Yarrowia lipolytica: one gene and its partner. The protein of the gene in region 1 interacts with the protein of each later gene in a pairwise test. Links are inferred from orthologs where the notes say so. Each region holds a gene or a part of one and is shown in the gene's direction. Other genes may lie near its edges. The genes, in order: YALI1_D28825g and YALI1_F21583g.

The links.
Region 2: the proteins of YALI1_D28825g (region 1) and YALI1_F21583g interact in binary tests that used the Saccharomyces cerevisiae proteins (3 or more experiments, as listed by UniProt). The link is inferred for Yarrowia lipolytica from reciprocal best matches to the Saccharomyces cerevisiae genes NIP1 and PRT1.

The regions. Positions count from the first base shown.
Region 1 is NC_090773.1:2,873,613-2,889,458, reverse strand, and holds YALI1_D28825g (uncharacterized protein), read left to right. Parts: upstream 1-7,024; coding exon 7,025-9,505; downstream 9,506-15,846. Other genes in the region: YALI1_D28890g (uncharacterized protein), read left to right, coding at 451-1,800; YALI1_D28842g (uncharacterized protein), read right to left, coding at 3,203-4,555, 5,020-5,087, 5,298-5,307; YALI1_D28782g (uncharacterized protein), read right to left, coding at 9,515-9,567, 11,141-11,288; YALI1_D28726g (uncharacterized protein), read right to left, coding at 15,427-15,846. UniProt on the Saccharomyces cerevisiae protein: Component of the eukaryotic translation initiation factor 3 (eIF-3) complex, which is involved in protein synthesis of a specialized repertoire of mRNAs and, together with other initiation factors, stimulates binding of mRNA and methionyl-tRNAi to the 40S ribosome.
Region 2 is NC_090775.1:2,151,995-2,167,617, forward strand, and holds YALI1_F21583g (uncharacterized protein), read left to right. Parts: upstream 1-6,395; coding exon 6,396-8,549; downstream 8,550-15,623. Other genes in the region: YALI1_F21504g (uncharacterized protein), read left to right, coding at 1-1,023; YALI1_F21540g (uncharacterized protein), read right to left, coding at 1,099-2,037; YALI1_F21547g (uncharacterized protein), read left to right, coding at 2,796-3,137; YALI1_F21567g (uncharacterized protein), read right to left, coding at 3,519-4,733; YALI1_F21612g (uncharacterized protein), read left to right, coding at 9,216-10,334; YALI1_F21647g (uncharacterized protein), read right to left, coding at 10,651-12,786; YALI1_F21673g (uncharacterized protein), read left to right, coding at 15,326-15,486, 15,535-15,580; YALI1_F21676g (uncharacterized protein), read right to left, coding at 15,605-15,623. UniProt on the Saccharomyces cerevisiae protein: RNA-binding component of the eukaryotic translation initiation factor 3 (eIF-3) complex, which is involved in protein synthesis of a specialized repertoire of mRNAs and, together with other initiation factors, stimulates binding of mRNA and methionyl-tRNAi to the 40S ribosome.

The DNA.
Region 1 (15,846 bases):
AAATCCCACTCGTTATATTTATCACGTGTCTCCGTCCACTCCACCGAAATCACATGACTTGAAATCAATTTTTTCCTGCCCGTCCTGTCGTTGTCTGATATAGAGACCCCCACTCTCGCACGTTTTTGTCAAACTCAAAACTAAAGAGGAGAGAGCTTTCAGTAGACGTCTGAGAGGAGCTTTTGAGCCCGAAAAAAGCGCAAAAAAGCGCAAAACAAAACGCCAACCCCATCTGGATCACTTGAAATATATATTTCCATGTTATAAATCTCTCTAACTCCTTCACAGCCGCCTCCAACACACGCCATGCATCCTGCTCTCAATCGTGCGCTTAAGATTATCGATACTTTATCTTTAAACCCGCATATTATGCGACAAGTGCGTCATCACCACTTTTGACTCTCTACAAGTACAGCTCAATCCACTCATTTTCCAGCCAGAAAAATCACCATGAAACATCTCAAGTCTGTGGCTATCATTGGAGGAGGTCCCAGCGCGGCTCCGTGCATCAAGGCGCTTTTGGCCGAGAATTACTTTGGCAAAATCACCGCCTACGAACAGCAACCGGCACCTGGAGCAGGAGTATGGAATTACAACGGCCTGACCCGGCCGACACCGAACCTGCCATGCACTCGTGACATGCCCGCAGAGCCCATTGAGCACAAAAAGGACGGCTCCATCATCTACTACAACCCCATGTACAGAGATCTCAACACTAACTTGCCCCACATGTTGATGGCGTACAAGGATTTCCCCTTCCCCGAGGGCGTGGATTTGTTTCCCAAACGACAGGTTGTCAAACAGTACGTGCAGGACTACGCCCGGCATGTCGTGGACCATTTCAAGTTTGAAACCATGGTCACCGGCTTGAAAAAGACGGGAGACGTGTGGATGGTGGAGTCCAAGTACGTCGGACCCCATGCCAAGGAAAACGTCCAGCCCGAGCTCGAAACATATGATTACGTCATCGTATGCACCGGCCACTATTCCCATCCGTTTGTGCCTGACGTTCCGGGTCTGAAGGCGTACTCAGACAAGCATGAGGTTCTGCATGCCAAGTACTTTGACAACCCGGATTCGTATGTTGGAAAGACCGTTTTGGTGGTTGGAAACTCGTCTTCCGGCATTGATATCGCCAACCAGGCGGCAAAAACCGCCAAAAAGGTCATTGTCTCTGCCAGATCGCCTTCCAATGCCCCCACCAAGGGAAACATTGAGACTGTTGGTGTGATTACTAAGTTCCACGGTGATGATATTGATGTCGAGGGAGCTCCAGGAGTGGAGGGTTCGTCTCCCCAAACTCTCTCTGACGTTGATGTGGTCATCTATTGCACTGGATACTTGTATTCGTTCCCTTTTCTGCACTCCTACGTGCACCATTCAGACGATGACCTCATCACCGATGGAGTTCGGATTCGAAACCTCTACAGACAGCTGTTTTACATCAACGACCCATCCATTGCGTTCATCGGAATGCCCAAAAACGTGGTGCCCTTCCCTCTGGCTGAAACCCAAGCAGCTGTTGTGGCTCGAGTGTGGTCTGGAAGATTGAAATTGCCTTCTAAGGAGACCCAATTTGAGTCTCTGCGGAAAGAAGAGAAGGAAAGAGGCACTGGATCTGCCCATCATACACTGAAACACCCCCTGGATGCCGAGTACCAGCAGGCTCTCACTGACTGGCTCAAGGCCGATACCTACCCCGATCCAGACAAGGGCTTCTTTGGAGTGGAGTGGGATGAAGAGCGGTATAATTGGAGACGAAATGTCAAGAAGCCGCAGTTGGGAGATTTGAGTCTGTGACATCACCGCGGATCGGTGATCGGTTCGGATGTTCTACTGTAATACTGCTCTTGCTACTGGAGGATACTTCTGAAGCAAGATTGCTGGTATTATGACACTACAACAGCTGCTCTTGTTACTCGGAGATATCAGACGCTGACCTTACTGTGGCAACTTCAGATAAAACTTGTCATGTCAAGATACCAGGCTTATTGTATAGAATTCGTTCAGCAAGACTCTAAGAATTTCCTACATAGAATGACTAGAATACAACTCTTCATCTTCAAACATGTGAAGCCCCTGGGAAATGCAATTGGCAGAAACAATCTACTCGCACCAAATGCCAAACTTGCAATGAAGGACTGGAATCCCCTTCCACTTCTCTTACCCTAGCGTCAAAACATTGGGATATCGGATGGGATAAAAACTGATGCTTGTAGCTAGAGGTTGAACATTGCCACTGTAAATGAAACAGACGTACCAAGAGAGACGCCCACTCTGAAGTAGTGCCACTAAGCGCTGGAGTTGAATGTTAGTACAACAGCAAGAGGCTCTAAGAGTAACTCTCGATCTGACACTCCGCAAGCAAACGACCTCGTTCGAACAATGGCTATCAATTACAATTACAATCACAATCACAATACTGATCTCCCATGCACCAAGGCAAAGACTGTCTCCAGCTGACCATGCCCAATCCCAAACCCCCTCCCCCCACAAAAGGTACATACTTTACTGTACTGTGCTGCCAAAAGCAAGTCCACCCCGTTTGTCAGGTGGGTACCAAAACAAACAGGAATTCTTCACCTGATACGTGTCTCCAAAATCTCAAGTATTCTACCCGTAACTTCGTGTAATCTACAGCCTGCCACCCACTATTTGGCGCCCCACAAAAGAACACTTTTACTCGACTGACTGCACTGAAAAACTTTGATCTACTTAGAGTTCAAAGACCCCATATTTGGGCAGTCTCAAAAGGAGTTTGAAAGAGCCCCAAAAGGTGATTTCTTTGGCTGATTAAGTCATCACGTGAGTCCGATAATACTGTCTCTTTTTCAGCCGAAAACAATCACTCCAAACACTAAAATTGCCACTCACTCTTCAATATCTCCAACATACTTGCACTTGTACAGTTGCATGTTCTAAATGGGACAGCGATACCGACCAGAGAGAGAAAAACCAACGAGAAATATCCCCGAACAATTCAAGCCTAAAACGTTTGCTGTACTGTAGTACAAGTATGTACTTGTATGTCCATGAAACATCCCTTCTCTCCTTATCTCCTTTGGTTGAACATATCCTCAACTCGTGTTCACACAGCCAGCCAGTCACACATCCGCTTACTGATCTGCCTGTACATGTCCACTCCACCCACTAATTCAAACGTTTATTAATACATAATACGGCTTTTACTCTAATCCCCACTCTACATTCCAAAAGCCTTGCCCATCTGAGCAATATCACCCTCCTGGGCAAGAATCTCAAAATAATTGTTCATGGAAGTCACGGCGACAATCATGGGTGCGGCAGAGGCTCCAAGACCGCCAAAAATGTCGCAGAAGGCCACAATGGCGCCCACAACAGCTCCACCAACAGCAGCAGCCACGGGGATGACCTTGGCCAGCTCTCGGGGAGCAGACTGGGCTCGCTGGCCGACAATCACAATGGACTGGGCCTGGAACTGCTTGGCCACGTCCTTGGGGGCGGAGCCGGAAATCTCAGCCCAGTACTTGGAAAAGAGAGTGCAGCCCACAATGGTGTAAACAGAGTAGAGCACCATCTTGATGACATCGTATCCAAAGTTGTTGGGACTGATGTAATAGGCAATGCCGCCCACGGGAGAGCCGTCAGCTCCCCAGCTACCAAGAACCTGCACCATGAGGTTGTCAGGGAACTGCACGTAAAGAGACTGCGAGTAGATGAGAACGTTCTGGGAGAAGGCAGACAGCAGGAAGAGGCACATAGAGCCAGTGTAAAGCAGCTTGACGGGGAATGCGGTGGCAAGAGATCGCACTCGCGACGACTTGATGGGGATGTCCACCCGGAAAGTGTTCAGGTAGATGGTCAGCATGAACACGGCCACAGACATGTACAGCTGCAGCAGGTTGGGCAGGTTCTGTCGGAAGAAGGAGTTCTCAATAACGTATCGGTAAGAGCCGCCAAAGTTGAACAGTCCGTTCTTCCACAGACCCATGAGCAGGGCAGGGATGGATCCTACAAACTCCTGGTGCACCTTGAGCAGGGCAAGGTTCTGCCACATGAAGTTTTGGGAGACGGACAGAGCGGTGAAGAGACCAGAACCAGAGCCGAAAGAGTAGCCCTTGTCGACAATCTCGCCGAGCAGAATGAGCACGAGACCAGCGGCGGTCAGCTGGGCAACAATTAGAACCGCAGCTCCGAGAGAGAGCTCTGAAACAGCAGAGTCGGTTGAAATGGTACCGTAAGTCTGAGCGAAGAAGACGAGGAAGATGGCATGGAAGAAGGTGAGCAGAAGAGCAAAGATCTTCTGGCCGCTCTGGAAGAGCTCTCGGTCGGCTCGAATGTCAAAATTGACATTAAGGGCCTGGAAACCTCCCAGGATCTGGAAGATGATTCCAGAGGTGACCATGGGACCCACACCGAGCTCCATCAGAGTGCCGTGAGAAGAGGCGGAGATGGCTCGGGTAAACGAGTAGGGGTCTGAGGTGGAGGCGTGGGCGCCGTAGAGCGGGATGCCGGCCATGATGAAAAAAGTGATGGCGATTCCGACAGTGTAGGCGATTTTGTCGTAAAAAGGGAGCTGGGTTAGTATGTAGAAACCGAGAGCAGGGTAGCAGTTAAGCAACTTAGCGAGACAATCTGACTGACGTGAACCAAGTTGATCACAGAAATACAATAGAATCGTTTACCTGGAAGTAGCTTTGAGAGGAGCTACAGCACTGAGTTGATCTGCAGTGGCAACGTCTGATGATGAGATCCTAACACAACCATTGAGGTCGTTTGGATCGGCAACACCATCGCTGATCACCTATAGTGCGCTAGCGTCAGCACATCGGGTATCATTCCGGTCGCATTTGCCATGTTGTTGATTCAAAATGGACATGTTGAGGGGTTACACATGTTGGGCAGGGGTTGATCATCGTCAATCAGTACCATCAGAGACTAAGATCTCTTGAATTCGTCCGTGCATCCTGTCATTTCTCTCTCTCAATGTCCTCAATGTCCTCCACTTGTCATCGTCGTCTCTCGATCAACAATACTCACCTTTCGAGCAGGAACAACAATCTCAGGCAGAATGGCCTGGAATGGTTTCACCAGATCGAGCATACGTACTGTGTTAGTCAGGGCTCAAGCAGCGTTGGAATCGGCTTTTGAGGAGTGTGTGTCGGATGTTATTTTTTGGATCCTTGATGTTTGTGTCGTTCTGTTTGTGTGATCCTGTGTTGTTGGTTTTGTGTCGCATCGTTTCAACACATAAATAGACCGCTTCCCCCTCTTTTCCTTTTTCCCTCTTTACCTTCTCTCTTCTCTCTGTCACTCACGTCCACTCATTTTTAAATGTGTTTTTGAAGCCCCCGAGTCGTGAATCAACAGTAGTGGCTCTAGAGACGATGGTTTTGGGCACAAGTGAGTTAGTGCGTGTGGGTTGGCAAAGGTTGATTCAAACTCTAATTTGAGCTGTCACCTTGTTTTTTTTTGGGCTGGTCGATACACACTGTCAAAGAGCCAGTATAAGAGGAGGCTCGTTTTTCATGGGCCAGTTTATGGCGCACTTTTGAAGACCCCAAAGCCGAAATTAAAAGCATAAACCCCAACAAAAACTACTAACAGAAGTCACGTGACAATCTGTGCGCGTCGCTTGTCTTACCAACCCCAACCCCCCACTCCAACAGAGACTCCCTCCAATACCGCCCCTCCTCCCTTCTCCAGCCTTCTCGCTACTCCAAACGAAATTTAAAAAAGTTCGCTTTCCTCGTATATATGACAAACCTTACTTTGCGCCGCCGTGGACTGAACACATGGACCTGGGAGTGGGAGGAGATGGGTCACGTGAGCCCTAGGAGTGAGAGGAGATGGGTCACGTGAGCCCTAGGAAGTCGAGCCGGCCCGGGCCCGCGCTGATCTGGGGGTCACGAGACTCCCAGAAGGAGCCGCTTCTCTCGGGACCTCCCCCCCAAAAAAAAACAAAAAAAAAACAAAAAAAAACAACAAAAACGCGGGTCCAACCAATCACGTTCATTATCAGATCAAGTTGCGGATTGGAGATAAGGGTACTTGTAGGAGGTCTGTAAGGGAAGGGGGCGTGTGTTGTCATGTGACAGGATCACGTGACCATGCCGATTGGGTATTTTTCCGTGGGTCGTTCTCGTCTGTACTTGTACTAGATTTGACAGCTTTGTACGTGCAGGTTATGACAGGGTTAGATGCTTAGGTAATGGGTTTATCCAGATGAAACTGCGGTTCAAGGTGCGATGTATGACACATCACGTGACCCATAATTCACCGCGCTACAAGTATATTGGTACATTGGTGTACCATACACTAGATAGTAAGGTGTTCTCTTCCCTGGCATGTCAATTGTATGTTGTATCCTTCTCTTTTCTTCTGATCCATGTTAACATTGGCGGTTTGAAACCCGCGGATGTTCTTTTGGGTCCATTTCACATTCATCTATGGTTGCACCAGTGTTGCGGGACCCTGTCTTTCTCCCAGCCAGATGTTGGTGAGACTTGGTGAGACTACCACTGGTAGCAAGCACAGTGGGTGATTCGACCAGAGGACATCAATGGGAGGTGAAAATTATAGAGTTCGACAGCAGGCAGGAACGAGTGGGGTTAGAAAACGGCGAAAAGTGGCCGAAATGCAAAGTGGACGACACGGTTGTATTACCAGTCTCTCGGGGATTACGACTATGTAATTTATTCCAAGATTGCGTCTATAAATAGTCCAGCAAAAGGTCTTATCTCAGTCGAGCCCTCCCAACTGAAAAAAATTAAGTTGTCCAAGATGGGTGTGGAAGGAGATCGATCTGGGATTTAGACAAGGCTGGAAAATTGAGATAACGAGGGATATCTGCCATTATTGAGACATTGCAAGTGTAGGGAAGTTTCGTCTCTCTTGTTGCGACTTTCCAATCGTGAGATATCACGCCGTTGGCTTGGAGGTAATAAGCTTTCTGCAAGGTTACCCTGATGTAAAAAATCAGTGCGGTCCCAGACCACCTAAAAATTTCCTCCACATACATACAACACCACACACCGATTGCAATATGTCCCGATTTTTTGCTGGTGGCTCCGACAGCGACGACTCGTCTTCGGACGAGGATCTGTACGGCTCTGGCTCCGAGTCCGGCTCCGACTTTTCCCAGGACGAGCAGGACGGAGGAGATGATAACGACGATGACATGAGTGACGATTCCATGTTTGCTGACGACTCTGACGACGACAGCGACGACGACGAGGACCTGGGCGGCAAGGGCGCATCTTACTTCCTCAAGTCGTCCACCGTGGCCGACTCGGACGATGAGGAGGATACCGGTAAGAAGACGGTGCTGTCTGCCAAGGACAAGCTGCTTGCCGAGCTGGCCAACTGCTCCAAGCTGATTGACAACGGCAAGCGAATCAACGACTGGGTGTTGATCCAGGGCGAGTTTGACAAGCTCAACAAGGCCATGGAGCGGTTCACCAAGCAGCGACATGGCCTGCCCCCCAAGGTCTACATCCAGTGCATTGTTGAGCTGGAGGAGTTCCTCAACACCCAGCTGGAGGACAAGGCTGGAATCAAGAAGATGAACGCGTCCAATTCGCGAGCATTCAACACCGTCAAGCAGCGGGTGCGAAAGAACAACAAGGAGTACGAGGCTGCCATCGCAAAGTACAGCAGTGGTGGTGACGTGGCAGAGGAAGAGGAGGAAGAGAACAAGGAGGACAAGCCCAAACCCCGGGCCAAGGATGAGTTTGTGCTCACCGCTCCCTCCCAGGCTTCCAATGAGGAGTTCACCACCGTTGGCAAGGCTGGAAAGGCTCTTGTGTCCCCCACCGACATGTTCAAGACTCTCAAGACCGTTCTGGAGAGCCGAGGTAAGAAGAACACCGACCGGGAAGACCAGGTGCGACAGCTGGAGAACCTGCTGCCATCTGCCTCTACCGTCTACCAGAAGATCTCTGTCTACACCATGCTTGTGTCTACTCGTCTGGATCTGTCTTCTGCGTCTGCTGCTCTTGCTCCCGAGAACTGGCTCAAGGTTGTGGGCGACCTCAACGACCTGCTGTCTATTCTCGAGGAGAACATTGATACCTATCACGTGATTGAGACTGCCCCCGAGATTGAGGACGTTGAGAAGGGCCCCGTTGCCCGGGAAGACGGCGTCAAGCTCATTCCCGGCTCTGTGGCTTCTCTGGTTGAGCGTGTGGACGACGAGTTCACCAAGGCCCTCCAGTTCATGGACCCTCACACTACCGAGTACGTGGACCGTCTGAGAGACGAGACCAAGCTGTACCAGACTCTCCTCCGAGTGCAGATGTACATTGAGCATGTCTCCGACGAGAAGGACACTCTTGGCCTCGCTCGAATCCTGGTTCGACGAGTCGACCATCTCTACTTCAAGCCCAACAATGTCATCAACATGACTGAGCAGATTGCCTGGGGTGGAGTCAAGGGCGATTCCAAGGCCACTCCTCGACCTACAGAGAAGGACCTCACCTCATCCACTTACCCCACCACGCTCATTTCGAACATGTGCTCCGTTCTGTACAAGCAAAGCAACACTGTGTTCCGAACAAAGGCCATGCTGGCTCACGTCTACCACTACGCTCTGAACGACGAGTACTACAAGGCACGAGATATGTTCCTCATGTCCCATCTGCAGTCGTCCATTGCCTCTGCTGAGCCCCAGCTGCAGGTGCTATTCAACCGAACCCTGGTGCAGCTTGGTCTGTGTGCTTTCCGAAGCGGACTCATTGCCGAGGCCCAGCAGTCGCTCCAGGAGGTCTGCTCTTCTCCTCGACTAAAGGAGCTGCTCGGACAGGGTCTGGCGAAGTACGCCCAGGCCGGAGTTGTCGACAAGCAGCGAGTGCTGCCCTTCCACACCCACATCAACCTCGAGCTGCTGGAGTGCGTGTTCCTGTGCTCGTCGTTGCTTATGGAGATCCCCTTTATGGCTGCCCACAACACGTCTATCGACGCTAAAAAGAAGGTCATTTCCAAGCTGTTCCGACGAATGCTCGACTACCACGAGCGACAGGTCTTCTGTGGCCCTCCCGAAAACACCCGAGACCACATTATGCAGGCTGCCAAGGCTCTGCAGCGAGGCGACTGGGAGGCTGCACGAGATCTGGTCTGTGCCATCAAGATCTGGAGCCTGCTCCCCAACCCCGAGGCTATCAAGGCTATGCTCACTGACAAGCTCCAGATTGAGGGTCTGAGAACCTATCTGTTCACCTACTGGAACCACTACTCAACGCTGTCTCTGAGCACTCTGGCCGACATGTTCCAGCTGCCCGTTAAGGATGTGGCTGCCATTGTCGCCAAGATGATTGCCCAGGAGGAGCTTCCTGGATCTCTTGACCAGAAGACCAACTCGGTCGTGTTCACACAGGCTGTCCAGCAGACCAAGCTGCAGCAGCTCGCCGTGGCACTGTCTGACAAGGTCATCCAGCTGGCCGAGCGAAACGAGCGGCTCGTGGCTGGCGGGTACCAGTTTGACAAGATGACCCAGCCCCAGAAGAGAAAGACGCAGAGAGCTCGATAGGCGAGGGAGTTATCTGAAAACACGAGCGCAAGTGAGTGTGCAAAAATGACAGCAAGAGAGTGCTGAATAGTTGAATAGAGCATGTTATAGGAGTTCCAAAGTTCTGAGTGAGTGCTTTGATGGACATTTAGTAGACTTTGGGAAAAGTTGAGCTCATTGTAGTGGCATGAGAGGTGATTGTAAAGAGAATGTAGAACTAAAAGAATGGTTAGGGAGACGACTACAGGTAGTAATTGTGGAAGTTCAGAAGGATACTGGAAGAAACTATCAAGTGATGACTGGAGCAAATAAAATGATGTTCTGACTGTCCTCACTAGTCCTCACTAGTATAGTATATGCAGTAATTTAGTATATCTGATTCATTTCAGCTGGCTGAAAGACGTTCAATGAGAGAGGGGCGGGTTCACCAGATGTTGGGGAATTAGAGCTGCGAGGTTCTAGTGCAGTGATTATGAAAGTGAATTGCTCTCTTGGACCAAGTCCATGTTGAGTATGGCGTTTTTCTTGCAGTCTCCAAGAGATGGTCTTCAGCAGCGACACATATAGTCCTCCAGCCACTCCATTGTGGGCATTAGTGGGCCAAACAGGATAGAGCGGGCCCCAAAACGACACTTTCTGGGTGGTTGATGAGACAAAGTATGAAGACGTTTGACACGAGTCAACAGCAGCTGTGCTTGTGTAGTCAACTTCTATACTCATTGAGCCAACCGGGTTATTCGCACAGGCACGAAAAGAAGTTTTTTCCCCCGCACTACAGCAATACTGTACATACTTCGAACGCCTGTCTTACATATACACAGGAACCAATGATGCGGTATGCTTGTAATATGAATTACATGTACCGATCAAGCAGGGAACGATACTTTTGATGTTTCTACAAGCAGCTAGAACCCGGTTTTGAGAGGTTTCGCTTAGCGGCTTGGCACTCATCTCATATGCATACGATGACAGAGATCACTGACACATGGACTCTCACTCTCATGGACCAGACGGAACATGTTAAAAACAGAGAGTTTGCAAGAAAAAGATGGACGGAGATTCTAGGGAGAGGTCCTGGGAGGGAACGGAATAAGACATGTCAGCACACTCCTGCTTCTGATCACTACGCTGAGCTCTACGTACTGAGTTGGACTTTCTCATCAACTTGTGTTGTGACCCCACTATCTGACACAGTGAACAAGAAAGCCTGGGTTTTCTGATACGGGGCTCTGCGGAAATTGCTAACTCTTCATCCCGAGCGGCATGACACAACTATGGGGCTCGTTACCTAGGGAAGTCAACGTTGGCAATAATGTCAGCAGATCTTCCAGACCATCTCCAGTTTTGCCTATATATATATCCTGCAAAGTCCGCATCTACTTTTTTTTTTTTCTGCATATACCATTCATTTTAATTATAACTTTGCTGTGAAAGAATAACCTTTGAAATGAATGTACGCTTACACGAATATTACTAATTAAACACGTTTAGTGTCATGGTCCATCTACTACACATGCTCATCCCAAACTTTTATTCAAAGTCCAACAAACTTATCAACTACATTCCAGTGTTTACTCCTCAACAGATCTATTACCAACTAATCCCAACTAAGCCCCAAGTTGCTCTTGTTGTTCCTGTAGTACCCCTGCCACTGACAAACTTGGAAAATGAGATCACTAATGTCGAACTGGTACTTGAAGTGTCGCATGAGAAATCTGGCCGAGTCGCAAGGCGTCTCTTTCATGTGGTTCAAGACATATGTAGCCACATACTGTTCATGTTCGTCAGTCCAACCCGTAGGCATCTTGAGAGTATCGTCAAAGAGAGTGTGTGCCGATAATGAGTCAATGGGTAGATATATATACCTATGGAAGCGGCATTGCAGCCTCAACTCATCGTAGCCTCCATTCACCTTGCCTCAATTCACCTTGCGTCAGTTCACCGTTGACATTATCTCCATAGCGGTTGTCTCAGTTGTTTGAGGCTGTAGGTACATTGGTCATTTTGGCGCTTGAAATGTCCTGAAAACAGAAATATATGGACATAAAAGTATATAAAAAGAAAAAAATGAGCATAAAATCCATATCACAATTGCCAAGAAAAGGACGGAGTTATTGATTAGTACTGTAGCTGCGTTTTGATATTACGAGTTGGTGAGTGGAGGGTAGACTGAGAACAAGAACGCTACAGAATATTCTAGAGAAACTATGGCGAGATGAAAAGTTGATTTATTGAATTACAGTATTGAGAACTGTCTGATCATACCAATTTCAAATCATTTAGCCACATACCAGCGGTTCTAAGAACTTGTACGGACCACTCGACTAAGTGTCAACTAAATGTTAACTAGGCCTCAACACGAAGTGGAGACAACACTTTTACGACCAAAGATGGAAGGAGGCTCTTTTTTACAACCGTGTTATGTCCTAGAATCAATCAAACACTACAATGTGCAAATATAGAACCAGCACCCCCATCCTGGTCATCCTAGAACCACAAAACAACCACCCACAATTATTACTTGTTCCCTACTAAATTTCACCGAACTACATCTTAACAAATCACCGAACTATATCTTAACAAATCACCTAACCGTATCTCAACAATGCTCAGAGGTGGCTCTCCAAACACATGTCCAGAACATGGTAAAACTCCTACCGGACGTTGAAATTGAACACGCCAGAGGCGATCTTTCCGTCAAAAAGGAGGTGAGAACAAATTCCGGCGCACTTGGTATCTTCCCCAGGTCACAGTTGGTTCTTCAGCTGTGTTATCGGATGAGACGAGTGGGGGTTGTAGATATATATGATTGTAGCTGTTGCATATGATTGTAGCTGTTGTATGTTAGAACGGCAAATGTGCGTTTTTCGAGGCCATATCTTCAACAGTGCCCAAACATTTCCGATATTTTCCCTCAATGGGAAATCTGTTCCGGTATCGTGGGGTCTCAGTTGGAGCTGAAAAGTTGGAAAGAGAAGATTTGTTGTCACAATGAGATCAGGTCTTTGGGGACTCCAGCTGCTCTGACTGTGTATTCGGGGAAGCTGTGTCCTGGATCGACTAACCATGGTAACTAGTTAGTGGTATCATTACATTTTGGAGTGGGTTGAGGTCGAGTTGGGACGCCAGACAGGAGGAAGGATCTCGTATTGCAACAACGCAACCAAGACATTAATAGGACTCTATTGGCAGGGACGAGGACCTGCTTATGATGCGCTGATTAGGGCTGGGCCGGTACCTGAACATCAGCGAGCAGTACCGGCCCAGCCCTTGAAGACGTAGTGTCCCCTCACAATATCCAAGACGGTTGAATATACATTTCCAACACATTATCTGTCAGTAAATGCACAAAGACCTTTTGGTCTCTTCATGGTTGGATTCTTCATCGTTAGACTCTTCATTGTTGGACTCTTCAATTTGGTCTCTCCATCGTTGGACTCTTCAATTTGGTCTCTCCATCGTTGGACTCTTCACGGTTGGACTCTTGGCTCCATCAGTTCTACACTGTCCTGCCCCTGGCTCCAAGTAGCCTTTCCGAGTCGATATTACCAGAATAAAACCTCGAAATGACCCCGAAATCTTCAATGTGGTTGCAAAAACTGTCGACTTCTCAGGACACTCCCCCAGTAAACGTCCACATGGCTGGAGACATCGATATGTTGATTTCCCCAAGATGCCATGATTGTAGTAATTGAGGAGGACGTCATCTTGTGTTATCGAAAGGTCTATGTGGTTAATAAGAAGAATTCTCATCACTTTTCAGCTCCAATTTTCAAAAACGTGAAAGACTGTTCTCCACATGGCGGCAGGCGGTTGACTGGAGACAGGCGAGACTGAGCAAATGCGACGGTGGTAGTGCGATGGCGTATCTTATTGGTACGAGTATTTGGACTTTAGATGTACAGAAGGGCTGTTACTGGATCATTTCAGCTGCAAGATCAGTTGGCCATCTCGGACCGCTACTAATTGACGACAATTACTTGATCCATTTGTTGAGTTTAGTTGAGTTTAGTTGAGTACTTTGAACAGAAAAATCGGATATTCAAGTGTACATGTACTGCACCGCACATATACCTAGACTCCCCCTCAACTGATCAACTGATTCAATGGCATCATTTCAACCCCAAACCTGGAAAAGGAGTACATGCTAGTGTCACGTGATCTCATGAACCAACAGTGGCTGAGTAGACTGTCTCTGTACGATCTTGTACCGTTTCAAACACCGTTGACAAAGCTGTCAGTCTGAACAACTCCTGTTCATCTACATAACCACAACGTAGGATCTGCCATCTAGTCACTTTTAACGTCTACGGGAAAAACTTAAGAGGTAGTGCCATCATCACCCTGGAAGAGACGTACATTGTAGTACAATTCCGACTTGTTCTGCCGTGTTGGTGGCATCTACTTGGTTCTAAAGTCCATCATCTCTACTTCAATGATGACTTTACCAACTCGTCAGACGAGTAGGACTCATTCCTGAAAGACTTGCCATCTGCGGTAACCCAACTGAAACCGTCGCCAACGTTGAAGATCCATCATGTTGAAGATATGTAACACGTGAAAGACAAGCGTTTTCGCAGTACAGGGTCCAAAAAGGGATCGAGGGTTGATTATCAGATGAATACATGTAAGAGCTTTAGAATGGTGACACGTTTTCTTCATTCAAGGCTCGATATACATCTCTAGCTACAACTTCAGTTGGTATGGTGACGCAGGGACCAAACGACCATCAGTCCAGGATATGAAAAATGAGAAGTGACGCTACAGGAATATTTACAACAGACATGTTCAATAAAATACCTCCAATACAGTGGCATAACAGGCAACGTTGAAGTTGCACAACTCTCAAAGCCATATCTCAAAGCCATTGCGTCTTCCAATCAGACCTCGTGGGGGGGGGGGGGAAAGGGGGGGCTCAACTTTGTATCGTGATTCAGGAATGAAACGACTACTTGACCAAACGAGTTCAGTGGAGACAATACGAGTCTGTAATCAGTTTTTTAGGGGAAAAAGACATTATACAGCTATCAGTACATCAATTAGAATCTATAAATATTTCTTCATCGTCCAACAATCTCCTGCTCAACAGTTGATGGTCTTGGTGATGGTCTTGGACTGCACCTTGGTGATGTTCTTGGTGACGGTGATATGTTTGGGCTTGGGGCACTTCTCGTCAGGGCACTTCTTCTTCATGAGTTGGTGAATGTCCTCGGGGTTCTCGGCCGAGTCGGCGGGGGTGAAAGCCATGGTAGTGGCGGGACTAGGAGCAGCCTGCTGGGCAGCGGCCAGAGAGAAGAGAGAGACGATAGCAAGGGTCTTGAGCTGCATGATGAAGTTAACTGGATAACGAGCTTTCGAGGTACGGACGGGTATTATATATTGATTTTGGCATAGAATATGAATCAATATCGAATCGAATGTGTTAATCTATGCAACCAGATATAACTGTGGTTGACTGCCGAAATGAATTGTATGCCGTGAACATGGCCAATGGAGTACACTGCAAGTAATCTCACCGGAGGAGGGAAGGTGAAAGTGAAACGGGCGACACTACAACGTGGAATGAGATCAATTATGAATAGCATCCATGGAATGAGAGACACCAGTGGTTGAAGCAACAACTAGCAGGGATTGGTGTTCGTCAAGGAGTTCTGGAATGTCGCCTTTGAATCTCAACTTGAAGTTCGAATTGAAGTTCGAATTGAATCTCGACTTGTCCACTTGTCTCGACTTTGTGTGGACAATACCCACTTCACATACTCACTGACTGAACATTACAGGTACTGTAGCACAGAGTCGGGACAGTACAAGTACAGTAAAGTACATGCAGTACACTCCAAAGACAATGTCAGTTGCTTTGATTCTTCTTTCTCCAGTTGTTCACGACACTCCAACTGGAACTGAACTGCGCGCGCGTCTTCAGTCCAATTTTCCCCTCCATCTCAATCTCTCCTCCTCTTCTTTATCGGATAGAAATAGCCGCTCAAGTCTCTCTTCCACCGCTTCCACTCCTGACAGTCCTCACACTGGTTCTTCCACGACACGAAATGTCTCCTGACGAACTGGTCGAGCTTGGTGAGGAAGGGACGACTATATTTCCAACATTGAGTCTTTCCCTCGTGTCTACCAACCAGTAGAATGCTCCCCTTGTGCTTTAGATAAGTCCTTTCGCTTCCCTCCTTCACCACAACTCCATACTTGTCTGATAGATACGACTTGGGTAAGTTATTTGTCTGGGCAACATGGTACCACGCGACTTGACGATTCGAAACTCGTGGAAACAGCTTCACAACTCTCAGACTCGATCTGGAGGTGAAAAACACACATCCAGTGTACTGACAGACATGAAGAGCTATCTGGTC
Region 2 (15,623 bases), on another chromosome or scaffold:
GAGTCTACTGCCAACGTTGATAAGAACCTTGGGGATCGCCGAAATGTCAGTCTATGGCACAATGGCGATGAACTTATTAATACAGTTGCCAGTCAGGGACAGACTGTCGTTGTTGTCACTACGGTTGGACAAGTTGACATGACCGCTTGGCTCAACCACCCCAACATCAGTGCCGTTCTTCTGACTGCTCCTGCTGGTGATTACGGAGGAAAAGCCATCGCTGATGTGTTATTTGGAGAGGTTAATCCCTCAGGAAAGCTGCCTTATACTATCGCAGCAAATACTTCTGATTATATTCCTATTGTCACCAAGATCCCTCGAGATGGAGCTCCCCAGTCCGACTTTGTGGAGGGAATCTATCTTGACTACAAGTGGTACGACAAGTTTGAAAGGACTCCCCTCTACGAATTTGGTTACGGTCTGTCATACACCACCTACTCCTTCAGCAATCTGCATCTTGATGTTAAGGAGATTAGTGAGTTCCTTCCTCCCCGGCCTGTTCCTGTACAGGTTACTAAACCCAAGATGACCAATATCGACATTGAGGACCTTTATGTCCCCAATGACTTTAAAATGATTGACGGTCTTGTTTACCCTTGGATTCTCAACGCCAGTGCGCCCCTCGCGGACTCTCAGACTCAGTTCCCCTTTGCAAATGGAGCTGGACATGTCAGTGACGCTTCTGGAGGAGTGGGTGGTCACCCCTGGCTTTGGTCTAACGCTGTTACTGTCACTCACAACACCACCAACTGCGGTGATGTTGCTGGACGAGTAGTTTCTCAGCTGTACGTTGCCTTCCCTGAAACCCTTATCGACTCTCCTCCGGTGCAGCTTCGAGGATTCGACAAGTCCAAGCTCCTGAACCCTGGTGAGTCTCAGATGACCGAGTACAACCTCAACTGGCGAGATCTGGCCATTTGGGACGTGGAACTGCAGAGCTGGAGAGTGCAGCGAGGCGAGTATTCCGTGTACATTGGTCATTCCAGCCGAGAATTCGAGCTATGTGAGACTTTCACTTTGTAGTAGTCAGTCACCCGTATTAACTAATCAATAAATCTATTATAAATGCATCCCAATCCTTCTCTTTTATATATCCCTCTAGTTCTTTCTCTTCATCTCGACCGCTCGCTTGTATGGTGGGCAAGTAGGGCTCTGAACGGGGTCCAAGCTGACTCGAACTCCCTCTCCACTAGGGAGAGTGTAAGTAGCGTCTGAGTCGTACTCCGACAGGTCGCCACAGGCCACAAAGGGAGCGACGACCCGCTCGGAAATAGGCAGAGGGAGCTCCTTGTTGACCATGACGCCAGTAGCGAGATCGGGAGACCATCCCGATCGAGGCTTGTATCCCTGACACACGATGAAAGACTCGAGAGAAGAGCCTCTGGAAGATCGGGGCTTTGCACAAGTGACCTGCTCGAACAACAGACCCAGCTGGAAGTACATGAGATCAATATCTCGTCCTCGGAAGATTTTGGCGACAAAGTTTCCTCCGGGTCTCAGTAGCTGGGTGGTCAGCTGAAGCGCAGACAGAATCAGCTGTGCCTGTGTGTACTCGTCGAGATCGTGCAGACCAGTGACATCGGGAGCTCCGTCAGAACACACAAAGTCGGCAGGCTCGCCTCCAAACTCGTCCAGAATCATCTTCAGAGTTTGAGGATGCGTGATATCGGCCTGGATAGTGGTGACACCAGCAATGGGAGCCATGGGTTGCAGATCAACAGACACAATCTTGGCCTTCTCCATGGTGGATGATTTTTGAGCAGTAGATTCCCCGGTGACAACCTTGCCTCCAAATGTCGACCCAGCCACCGTCTTACCGCTGCCAGCCTCGATACCTCGCTTCTCAAACAGCTCTCTGCTCAGCACCTGACTCCAGGACCCAGGAGCAGCACACAGATCCACAACTCGCTGAACACCGTCAAACAAGTGGAACTGCTGATCCAGCTGAAGCAGTTTGAAGGCGGATCGCGCTCGCCAGCCCTCCTCCTTGGCTTTTCGGTAGTAAATGTCTCTCTTGTCCTTGCTGCTTTTTCCCATTTCTGTCGAGTGTAGTCAGAGTGAAAAATAAAAAAGCTAATCTGAAAGTTTGATAGTGGTGGTGATGCGAAGGCGGGGGTCTACAATGTCTACAATAGTTGCATTTGACGCGGCTTTCTATAAAAAGAAGTGCAAACAGCTCTGTCTCTTTAAGTGCTCAACAATCGAGTCCATTTGTATTTTCAGCTAGTGCGTTTTTTTTTGCATTTCTGAGAGGTATTATTCTTACTAATCGAAGGTGGAAATCCAAACTGACTTTCTTATAATTTAGTTGATAATTAGTTAAGAAATTAAAAACTCTAATATGCACACTACAATGCCCTCGAAGAGTCTACAGACTGTATATTCTCCATCTTTATGGTCAGCCAAGTAACTAGTACACTACTTGGACATTTCTCATCTCATCATTACACCCTTGTCTGTCAAATTACGGGAGAGCATTTGTAATGATGCATGCATTTAGGTTCAGAGAGCGCAGTGCGGGGTGTTCAGAGATGGGTCCTAAAAGTGCGCTTTTAATCGACAATTTAGGAGATTTGGCCATTAATATTACTCAGCGGACCTTTCTGTATCATGTGACATCCATATTTCACCTCTGCAATGCTTACTAAGTCAACTAATTACTCTCCTTGTCCCCTCCGATATTTGCCCCCCGATAACCTACTTGTTCGGTTGGGACTACAACCTAAACCACCTTGAAACATCACCACTGCAAATTACTTTTTCCGCATCAAAAACTACACACACCCACACACACAATGCTGCGACAAATGATGAACTCCCGGCTCTTTGCCGCCCGACCCGCGTTTGTGCGACCCTTCTCCACTACTCAGATTGCGCGAAATGCCTCGTGGAGACGTCCAAACGAGCTGAACGACTACGAGAAGCAAATCAGCCAGATGCTGACCGACGAGTTCAAACCCGTGAGTCTGGATGTGCGGGACATTTCCGGCGGCTGCGGCTCCATGTTTGCCATCCAGATTGTGTCCGACAAGTTCAAGGGCATCCCCATGGTCAAGCAACATCGTCTGGTAAACGCTCTGCTTGCTGACGAGATCAAGCAGTGGCACGGTCTGCAGCTCGTCACCAAGGCTGCTTAGAGGAAGCGATAGGGATATGTGCATCAACAAAGAGATGTTAGACAAGAGCCTGTGAGCCTTGAGATGAGGATATGTATATAGTCAAGGAGACATTGGACGATATGAGAGTTGCTACTGAACCACCTGTGGCTAGAAGAGGAGGTAGGGGCAGTAAGTACATGCCAGTAGTGTTGTTGTATGGATATGTCGTTAATAAATGTTCTACCGGGAGTGTCTGTATCTTACTACAGAACAGTGTGATACACAGTTCTTTGCCACCTTGATGACATGAATGGCCTTTTGGAAAGCATATTAATGTAATGATTGCACACAATATGTACAGTTTGTAGCGTTACCCCCTTTTTATTTATTCCTTGTCATATCCCCCAGTTCGTCCTTCTCTTAAATGATGTCGTCGTCACTATCACTATCTTCTGCCTCCTCGCCGAGCTCCTGGAAACTGGCGTAACTGAGCATGATGAAGGCTCCAATGATGATAAGACCTCCAATCACGCCTCCAGTTCCAATAGGCGTGTCGAACAGAAGCCAGTCGACAATAGCCACCAGGAAGATGGTCAACAGGGCAGCGACCGATCCGATAACGGGAGAAGTCAGGGCCATGAGAATCAGAAAAGCACCTGAGAAGATGGCGTTGGACGCAATGTTGGCAATCATGATGCCGGCAGCTGATCCATGGGGCAGCTCAAACGGCTCCAGGCCGGTCCAGTGAAGGATGGGAAGCAGCAGCCACAGGAACAGCAGAGTACAGAGACCGATACAAAAGGCCACCACGTTGGCAAAGGCAGCCTGACGACGTGGGGAGATGGTGTTGGGAGGGCAAGCCAGCTTCTTGTACATGACTTCATAGAGACCATAGAGAATGGCTCCCACTCCGATAATGAGGTTTCCGATACCTCTGTGGGGGTAAGAGACCTCGCCTTCTCCCTCGTTAGTGTCCCAGTAAGACACAATGAGCACACCAATAATAGCGACCACCACACTGACCACCTTGGCAGGCTTGAGAGACTCTCCCAGCATCGGCACGGAAAAGGCATAGGCGAAGAAGGCCGAGCAGTTGTAGATGGCGGTCAGGTCACTGGGGGTGGTGAGGTTTACGGCAATGTACCAGGAGGATCCAGCGAAAGACAGGGCCACAAACAGCCAGAAAGATGTGACCATAATATACTTGAGCGGATGTTGACCGGAGAAGTCACCTGCGTGTTCTTGAGTGGCTCGGGCGGTGTTCAACACGAGCTCGTATTGCCGACGCAGAAAGACTCTCCATGGGGTCTTCCATCGCTTGAAGATCTTGATGAACAGCAGCTGTAATGGTAACAGAAAGACCCACGACGAATGTGTCAGGTACAGCATAAAGATGGGTTTCTTGTACTGCAGGTTATGAGCCACGTAGCCGGCTGTCTCGGTCTGAGCCACAAACGCGATCAAACTGACCACCAACGAGATTCCAGCATATAGATACCGTTTGTCGGGTTTGGTCTCGGACTTGAAGCTGTGAGAGGGACGTCGATGTTGAGAGGTCTCACGTGTGTCATAGTCGTGGACGTGGTCACGAGAGTCGCGTCCACCTTGCTCCAGAAATCCGTCTCGTTCGCTCATTTCGTTCTAGCAAGGGACTTATAGGCGAATTATCCAATTATCGGAGACCGAAGACGTTGCACGTTTCAGCATTCGACAGATGCTGCACTGCACGGAAACCCTAACCCGAAGGGTTTAATGTCGTGTCAAACGCGGCCTGGAAATCTCCTTTTTGGAGAGATTGGTCACGTGTATGATAAATAATTCCCACGTGATGCGGTGTATAGCAATGGTGTATCTTTTGGCAGGCCCTAGGTCTTATCTGGATTGGTCAAAGGTGCGGTTAAGCGAAAACTTTAAATCACGGGTTGTGCTGGAGTTTTAACTTCTGGGGGAGGACAACACAGGTTATGAGTTTGGGAAGGAGACGAACTACACGTGGGGACGTACAGTAACCGAGAAAGTCCTCCCTATGTTGGAGTCCTTTAACTTTATACTCTCGTGCATATTCATTTCACGTGACTTGAAGAATCATGACATTCTCGACTGTAGGTTACTTGCTTGTACTTGTATGTCCATTGTAGCTTGGGGGCTTTGGCTCGATATACCTGTGAGTGCGGTCACGTGACTTGTCAGGGGGTAGAAATAAATCTGCTGTACAAGTACAAGTACAATTGCCACCAGTATAGAGTCTTATTCCCGAACGAGACTGCTCCTTGGCTCTTAAAGGTTAGGACGGCTATGGAGAGCCCATTTAACCTGTTTAATGATGTCGACAGAAGGTCAACAAAGGTCATTTGGCATATGTTCTCTTAGAGGAATCGGTGTTTCAGATGGCAGATTATACATGGGTGGAGGGGTTAAAAAGCGCTACTGGGGACTTTTCCTGAAGGAGGGGGCTTATGACTACTTGTACTTGTATCTTGTACTTGTATCTTGTACTTGTACTTGCACCACCACGTTGATTTGCATTCAAGAAAATCAGATGTTACGAGACTGTTCGTCACTTGGTCCATGAGTGGACTGTCTATTTGAGAGATGCTTGGAGACTGCAAGTACCAAAAATAAAGCAGTAAGAAACTATTGAAATACTGTTTTATACGATTGAAGTACTTACGGTACGAAGACGGTATGTACTTGTGATAGACCAAGCTTGCTCAAACATTCTTCAACAAACATTCTTTAATAATGTTAACTAAGATCCTTGATCCAAGTAAACCAAACAAGACTTCAGTACAGACTTCAGTACAATATATACAAACACTGATATCTGATATTGTCGTTAATTATGACCACTTCTGAAAACCGCAACTCTTCCATACGTTACACGCTCGACCTACTTGTAGACGTGCTCACAATTACCGGTTCTTGTTATTCCACTCACTCTCACAGATGGCACCAAGCAACCCCGACTCAACCCCGACTCATTCTCAGAGAACGATTCAACCTGTCTAATAATGCACCGATCTCAAATCAGAAAACTGCACCCCCCTCATATCACACACGTGTCAATATTTCGCGTCCATGATATCCATATCACGTGACCAACCCACGGTATTGCTAATAGCCACCAGAAAACAAACTACTGTACAGTATGCACATGAGCTCGGTCCTGATCCTGATGCTGGGTCCATTAACATTAAGGTTTGTGTTACCCTCTCTTGGTGAAAAAAAGCTGCGTGTGCGATTTGAATCAAAGGGTAAAATTATAGGCCCTTCATACCACCACCACCACCACGAAAAATGACTGTGGAGGATAACCTCGATATTGACTTTTCCGATCTGGAGGAGAAGTACGCTGTCAACGCGGACGAGGGCTTTGAGTCTTTCATCGTTGTCGATGGAGCTCCTGTGATTCCCCAGGCCAAGCAGGCAGCCCTGGCCAACGTCATGAAGAAGTTCTTTGGCGCTGTTGGCAAGATCAAGGAAGACGGCATCTTTATTCCCTTCGACGAGGCCACCGGTAAGTCCACCGGATTTGTCTTCATTGAGTACGAGACGGGCGAGATGGCTGCTGCTGCCGTCAAGTCTTTCCACAACAAGCAGTTTGACAAGAACCATAAGCTGCTTGTCAACAAGCTGTCCGAGGTGGAGAAGTACGGCATGCAGTACGACACTCTGAAAACCGAGGAGTTTGTCGAGCCCGAGACCGAGCCTTTTGTGGAACAGGGACATCTGCGAAGCTGGCTCATGGACCCCCAGGGCCGAGACCAGTTTGTGCTCCATCGAGGAGACACAGTCGGAGTCTTCTGGAACAAAAAGGGTGATACTCTGGAGGCTGACGTTGACCGAGAGCGATGGACCGAGACCCAGGTCTACTGGTCTCCCACCGGTACTTACCTTGTGTCTACTCATACTCAAGGTGTTCAGCTGTGGGGTGGCCCCGACTGGGCTCCTCCTATCTGCAAATTCCAGCATCCCAACGTCAAGATGGTGCAGTTTTCTCCCTGCGAGAAGTTCCTTGTCACCTGGTCTAACGTTCCTCTCGTTCTCCCTGATGACGAGGAGAAGCGAAAGAGCATTCCTTTTGGCCCCGCTGACGAGGGCAAACAGATCATTGTATGGAACCTCGAGACTCGACTTCCCGTCCGAACCTTTGCTATGCCCCCGGAGAAGAAGGGCGCCTCTATGTCCTGGCCCATTCTCAAGTTCTCTCCTGACGACAAGTACGCTGCCCGTATGATCCCCGGAGAGCAGCTGTCTATCTACGAGACCGAGACCATGTCTCTGCTGGATAAGAAGTCCGTCAAGGCTCCCGGTATCGTCGACTTTGAGTGGGCTCCTGCTCTTGTTAACCTGGAGGGACGACAAAAGTCCGCCACTGAGTCTGTTCTCTGCTACTGGACTCCTGAAATTGGCAACCAGACCGCTCGAGTGGTCCTCATGAAGGCTTCCAACAAGGAGGTGCTGCGAACCCGAAACCTGTTCAACGTGGCCGATTGTAAGATCCACTGGCAGGACCAGGGACGCTTCCTGTGCGTCAAGGTCGACCGACACACAAAGTCCAAGAAGTCTACCTTTACCAACCTCGAGTTCTTCCGACTGTGCGAGCGAGGAGTGCCCGTCGAGGTTATGGAGCTCAAGGACACCGTCACCAACATGGCCTGGGAGCCCCACGGAGACCGATTCGTCACCATTTCCAACTCGGACTCCACCACCAACTACGACGGTCCTCTGCCCGCCAACCGACACACTCTGTCCTTCTACGCTCTTGAGCGACACAAGGGAACCCAGGGCACATGGAAGCTGATCAAGGCATTTGACAAGAAGAACTGTAACTCTCTGTTCTGGTCCCCTAACGGTCGATTCCTCATCACTGTCATGATTGAGGGCTCTAACTCTATCGATCTCGACTTCTGGGACATGGACTACGAGGGTGACCGAAAGCACGGTGACAAGGATCTTCCTGCCAACCTGCACTTCCTCGGCTCGTCCGAGCACTACGGTATCTCTGCTCTCGAGTGGGATCCCTCTGGACGGTTTGTCGCCACCTGGTCTTCCTACTGGAGACACCACACCGAAAACGGATACAAGATCTGGGACTTCCGAGGCCAGCTGCAGCGAGAGGAGTCCATTGACCGATTCAAGCACTTTTCCTGGAGACCCCGACCCCCTACTCTGCTCTCCAAGCAGCAGAAGAAGGATATCCGAAACAACCTGGAGGAGTACTCTCGAAAGTTTGAGGAGATCGACGCCATGGAGGCTTCCGAGGCTTCTCGAGAGCTTATCATGCTGCGGAAGCGACTGCTCGAGGAGTGGACCGCCTGGAGAGCCCAGACTGACAAGAAGCTCGAGGAGCTGGGTCTTGTCGAGCCCGAGCCTGCCGAGTCCGAGTACACCACCATCGAGGAGATCAAGGAGGTTGTTGTCGAAGATAAGGAGGAGGTTTGCGAGTAATCTATTCGTGAACTATTAAAATCGGTCGTCGTATGCGACCATAAGCAAAGAGTTTAAAACTACTTACGATTGTATGAGAGATGTTGTAGACAGGGTGTCCATTGTGTGCCCTAGATATCGTATTGTACTGGTGCAATACCAGTAGTATCGGTCAAGGAAAGTTGCAGTAAGTAGGTACTGTACATACTGTAACATTAGTAGAGAATATACATACGACAACTTGTACAGTACCCAGAATACTTCTCATATACAACTCATTGATACTTGGGTGCCAGTGGTAGTGTACAAGTATAGGCAGCTGGATCAACAAATTGTTGCTTCAGTGTTGTATGAGAGATTATATATAGTCTTCGCCTGAATCCTGCCTCTACCGCCCGATGTTTCACTTCTGCAACAGTAGCAGCCAAAAAAACGTATACTTGGGCAGCTAGAGAGAACACTCATTCCCATAGTCTTGCTTTGTCGATGTTACTCCGCCAACAAAATCAGATTGGCTTGAACATACGCCTTGCATATTCTCTCAACATTCGCCCTATTGCTTACCGTTCAACATCAGCTCTCATAGCTCCGGCACTAGTTGTACAGTAGTTCCAGCAAGATCATCTGCGATCTAAACTTTTTTCAGTTTTTTTTTGGACCAGCATCTCACCACTATACAAACACATCATGGGCAAACGAAGCGGATCAGGAGACGCCAACAAGCGCAACAAAAAGGCGCGGTACTTGCCCGGAGCCATCAAGAATGTGGAACCCCGCTACCAGGGAGTGTACGTAAGTTACACCCGAGGCAAGGAAAACATGGCCAAGAACGAGGTGCGACTGATGATGAACGAGTGGTGCGACAAGCTGTATGGAACGACTGTGGTGGAAAACGACGAGGAAGGCGACGACATTGAAGACGTGGACGACATTGATAAGGCCATGGCTGCCGAGGTGGCTGCCATGAAGGATACCAAGAAGGATCTCATCACTCCATTGCCTCTGGGATGTGAATGCATGTTATTTGTGCGAACCAGAAAGCCCGTGGTGCCCGTGGACTTTGTCAAGGCCATCTGCCAAGGAGTCAAGGACACTGGAAAGAAGTCCACTCGGTTTGTTCAGCGTATGACTCCCGTCACTCTGACTTGCAGTGCTAGCAAGCCCGAGCTGGAGAAGCTGTGTGATATTGTTCTGGGTCCCCACTTTCACCTGAAGGAGGGTCAGAAACCGCTCAAGTACGCCATTCGACCGACGATGCGAAATTTCGACGGCATGAACCGAGACGAGGTTATCCAGTCAGTCGCTTCTCGAGTGGGCCAGGACCACGGCCATTCTGTCGACCTCAAGAACTACGACAAGCTCATTCTCGTCGACTGCTTCAAGGCCTCCATTGGAATGTCTGTTGTTGGCAACGTTGAGGAGTACGAGGGACTTGCCAGATTCAATATTGAACAGCTGTGGGAGCGACACAATGAGGCCGAAACAGGCACCAGTCGAGTCAACAAGACCGACCAGACGGTGAAGGACATAGAAGATGAGGCCGAGAAGGCCGTGTTGAAGGAGGAGATTCAAAAAGAGGCTGATGAGACCGAAGCAAAGGCTGAGAAGGCTCTCAAGGAGCTGGACGAGCTGAAAAAGGGAAACAAGGATTTGGAGGAGGACAAAAATAAGACGAGCATCCAGGTCGATGAGCTGGAAAAGGACGCTGAGAAAAAAGTGCTCGAAGGTGAAGTTGATGAGGTGATTGACGAGGCCAAAAAGGTGAGAGAAGATGTCCGGGACTTGAGAAAGGAAGTGTCTGAGTAGTTTATATTTAGTATTTATGATATCTGTCAATGACAGAGTGACTGGAGCGAAGATGTATGCTTCTGACACTTGAAAGAAACCATATGCTATGCCATCTGTAACAAACGACAAGAACATCTAAAATTTACGGTGTATTGTATGTAATATACCTACAGTATATACAGTACGAGCACTGGACTGTACTGGTAGTGGGTGTATTATTATTGTTTCATGCAATATATTCATTATTCATAAGGTGTCTATGTAAAAGGTTGACACATGCAAAAGACTGTTAGTAGCGATGGTTGTTGTTTTTGGTTTTGAGTGTGGTCACTCTCTATTGAGTGTCACTAACAAGGGCTTCAGCCAGAGATTCAAAAACAGAGGAGGTCAGAACCTGACGAATAGAGGCACGCTCCTCAGGATCCACGGTCAAACACTTCTCCAGAAGCTCAACCCAGTCGTCGTTGCCGTCACCCAGCTTGCTCTTAAGAAGCTCCCGGTCCCATTGAGCGTTCTGAATGAGACCTCGAAGCTTGGGAACAAAAGAATGGGTGAAAGGCAAGTTACCTACCAGGAGGGCGTAGACCACCACTCCATAGGACCAAATGTCGACGGAAGGATGGTAAATGGGCTCGGCTGTAGAAAGCAGCTCAGGAGCAGCGTAGGGAAGGGAGCCAAGGTTGTCTCGCTTCACCGAGCCTCCCTGAGAAGAGGGAGTGGAAGGCACAGGAGTAGCAGTACCATTGGCGGTGGTAGTGCCCCCTCTTAGAGTAGAAGAATAGGTGGAGGGACCAATGGGTCGGTTCTGTCGTCGAGAGTTCTCATGCTCCTCGTCCTGGTTGATGTAGTCAGACATGCCGAAATCGCACACCAGCAGGTTGTACGAACCATCATCCTGGGGGTCCAAGAGACAGTTTTCAAGCTTTATGTCTCGATGGACAATGTGCATGGACTCATGTAGGTACGACATGGCACAAGCCAGTTGGAAGGCATATTGTCGAGCAGTCTCCACATCAATGCCCTGTCGGTTATTCTTGACCAAATCAAACAGTGTTCCTCCCATAATCTTGGAGGTGAAGCAGTAGATGGCTCGGTTGTCCTCATAGACATACTCCAGATCCAGTACATTAGGGTGTCGAAGCGTGCGCCAAATGTTGACCTCCTGCAGCATCTGCAAATGTTCCTCGGACGGGACAATTGCACTTCGGCTTGTATCGTTAATACTGCCAACAGAGTTGGAGTTGCGTCTAGAGTTGAAGGCAGAAGAGTCAGCAGACTCCATACTGGAGAGGTCAGACTCGCTGGTTCGAGCAGCCAGCCGGGCGTTCTTCTTCACCACCTTGCACGCCTTGGGTTTGTTGGGCTCTCCTCCACGAAGAGACTTGCAGTCGGCCTCGTAAACGTCCGAGAACCCTCCGTATCCAATCTTCTGTCCCAGAGTGTATCGTCCAATCTCTTCACCAGTGAGTGCGTCAGCAGTCAGAGAAAATTCTGCGTTGCCAGATGGGGTTCCGGCCACCACTCCCTCGGGCTGACTGCCCAGGGTAGTCATGTTGCCCATGTTCACGGAGGCAGACCGAGACACTGAGGGCGAAGAGAACTTGGCGAGAAAGTTCTGAGCAGGCGAAGAGGCTGCAGAAGAAGCAGAGTCTTGGGTCGAGTTGAGCAGGGTGTTGTTTCGAGACCGTCGCTTGGAAAAGGGGATAGCGGGAGGGGGACCCACAGAGCCGCCGTAGGAGTTCTGGCCAAACGACTGCGGGGAGAACAGTGAGTTTGCAATATGGTCATCCTTATGCGAAATGGACATAGGCGACGACACTGTGTTAAGGGGCGACATCTGCATCTCGGCAATGGCAGATCGCAGTTTCTTTCGGGTGCTGAAGGGCAAAGACTTCCAGTCTACAGAAGCAGCGGCCGAAGCAGCGAGGTCGACAGAACTGGAGCCCGTGCTGATATCCCTGAACTCTCCGGTATCCGAACGTCGAGGAGAAGCCACCGAGGCTGGTCCCGACAGGTTGGTGGTTGCGTCGCTCTTGGTGTCGCCCTGCTGCTGCGTGAAGTCCATGCCGGGGACATATTCGTCGGACTCTCCAAAGGGCACACGTTCTCGGAACGTATAGTCACTATCTCTGTACGACTTGGAGAGTGTCTGCGACAGCCTTGAGAAGTGTCCCTTGCCTGCTCCTCCTCCAAGCACGTCTACGGGCTGTGGCTGTTCGTCCGCCTTGAGGTTGTTGAAAGTGTTTGCCTTGGCGAATCGCGAGGTGTACTGGCACGGTTTCTGTGGCGACTGCGTTTCTGCGTTCATGTCTGTGTCGTTGTCATCGTCGGTCTGGGGCTCTGCTGGTGGCGAGTTGAGCTGCATGGGCGAGTCGCACTCGAACCCCTTTGCTACCGTCATGGCATCGTCGGGGTTGCGGGTGATGCCAGTGGTGGGTCCTGATTTTCCAGGAAATAGAAAGTCTTCCATGGCGGTGTGGGACTTTGTGGATGTAGCGGTGTAGCGATGTACGGTCGTAGTTGTGGTTGAAGTGTCGGGTTTACTCTTGTGTGTATCGATTGGTATCGTCTGTGTATTGTGTGTATTGTGTGTATTGTGTGTATTGTGTGTATCAAGAGTAACTTGCACTAAGGTGGAGCAGATGAAGAAAGAAAACCTCCGTACTTACTGTAGTGTTTTATTTCATGTCCGCAGCAGTAGCTTTGTGTTTCACACCACCTCAGCTTAGACTTAACACTAACATACCATACGGGCCCAATTCACAGCCTGCGCGCACCACCGGATCATTGTCTGGAAACTCTATTGAAGATGCACCGCAGGTTTGGTGCAATATTTATTCCGGCGCCATACCCTGGGCCGCCGTGTGGGCCGCCCCAGTCGCGTTCCACGCCCCGTCGCTCGCTAAGAACCCTTACGTTATCGTAGCTCCATCCATGCTTACCCCCCTTATGTCTTCATTTTTCCCCTCATGCTAAAGTGGTGACTGAATCTCTATTTCCTTACCTTAATCCCTTAACACCCTCGCACATTGGCTTTTTTTCCCTTGTCTGGAGCGCATCATTGGGCTGTCTATCTGATGCGGGGCGACCAATCATCTGGCCGAGTGTGCTTACCTCATCCTCCCAAACGGCCGAGAACAAAAAGGCTTGAGTGGAAATTCACAATCCCAAACTCAAAAAGAGAAAGGAAACGAGAAAAAAAAAAATTCTCCCAAATTTTATCTGTTCAAGACTGCAGAAGCCGAGGTGGAAGGAAGCGACCCGCATGTGAGGGCATTCTTAACGGCCCCGGAGACTGGCCGGGTGTACGGGGGCCGTGTTCCCCGTTCCGCCATCCGTTTCGGGGCTGTTTTTCCGCCCACAGCAGCGCCTATTTTTGCCTTTATTTTACCCTTCAATATCACCACGCTCCTCTTTCTATCTCGCATGTTTAGTGCTGCCCAGCCCGCAACTGGGTCATCAAACTCTTTAGAGTTGCCCGACGGAGCTTAAAAAACAGCCCACCGCAAGTGACTGGAAATAACCTTGCGAGGGAGCTCATGTGGCCCGGTCACGTGGGAGTAAAGAAGTCACACACGTGTATGGAGGTCTCAGCGGGAAAATTAGACAACAATTGCTCCACGTATACATCAATACGATAGCTCGCATACCCTTTCCCCACCCGTTTTCTGGGCACCAGTCATGTGATGCCCAAAAGCTGCATGGTGGTTCCCCTCCTCTTACAAGAGCTTGAGAAAGAGCTTGAGAAAGCGCATGACGTCACTTTTCAACATTCACCCACGCTACAGCAATTGTCGGCCGACTTGGGTACACTATGTACTGTACTTGTAGAATGCTGTATGGGACACGCGTTAGAGTCTCCGTCTTGAGGGGTACTTTAGTCTATGATGTCATTGTCTCAAAGTTCGATATGAGTACAGTATACCGTTCAAGTGGACAAGTACAAGGTGGAGAGTAGGACTTGTATCGAACTTGTGTGTACTGTATCACTCGTATTCGCGATCTCTTGCTGTCTGCAGAACTTGCGCTCGGTACGCCACAAGTACTCGCTCGAACATGTGAAAACATTCCTTTGACCACACTGGCGCGCTTACAGCTGTATTCGTACCATGCCTGGTCATGCCTGCTTATTGGCATAGGTAAACACGGCCCTTGAATGGGAGCAGAGTCTCACCTCAGAGGGTTGTTGAGGGGAAGTGTCTGGGAATATTATTGCTACAACGGAGCGGGGTTTTCCACGAGAATATATTGTATATGTATATTTGCGGCTTTTCAGACCCTTGAAACCATTCTCTGACGCATCTATCACTTTTTTGAGCCCCATGTTGCTGCTGCTCCTCCATTTACTGTCGACAGAGTTTGGCGGCCTGCGTCGGAAAAGACCGTTTGAAACTAGACGGCTATAGACGCGAGGAAAAAAGGAACTTCGGGTAAACTCAGACGTCTGAGGTGCGGCTGGCTAGGCTTCGGAAATACGCGGGAATACGTGAAACATTTCTGACTCCAAGAGAGCAGAAGTTGCAGGCGATTTGGTGAGGAAACAGAAGAATTCAGAAGAATTCAGTTCAAAACACGTCCTGACGCCAATATGGTTGCCGCTTTAGTCTTGCCACTATTATCTACGCTATTTTAGTTGGTCTCTATGACGTAATTAGATCAACCAGGTGCTACACAACCAAGTACAAGTAGCGAGAATAGTCCCACAGGAGGAAAGACCTAGTCTTGTTTCCTTGAAAACATTCTGGTGACCCAGCAACCATAGCGCCATTCACAAACAAACCCCTCGTAGGTACGATACTGTAGAAGGTGGTTCGACATGTCGGTAACTCGGTCCCCGGCATCTGAAGCCAGACGTGAAGGACAAGGAAGGATCAAGCTTGACCTTCTTATATAAAGTGGGCCAATCGTGTCTTGGGGTAGAGGGCTGCAGATTGTGTCTCGGATCTCCCCGGTCTAGTCTCACCAAGTTGATCTTGTGATCCACAACGGTGGCAAGAGATCCTCACGATATGTCACTGGTTAGTGGTCTCCAGGACGGTATTCGCCATCAGCAGTACAGACCACCACCATGCAAGTTTGTTTCGAGTTTTCATTCACTATGGAACACTTTCTTACAGTCAGCTAAAGTATTTTGTCTAAAAACTCCTTCACCAATATACGGAGTGAGAAAGTGAATACATCGACAGTACATATGTTTAGGTCTCCTGGTATTTAAAAGCCCCCACGCGTGTCCCTTGACCCATCCCATCATTAACCACCGCTAGTCAATGTTTGTTTGCTTAAACAGTCTAGCCCAAGCCTGTGGCT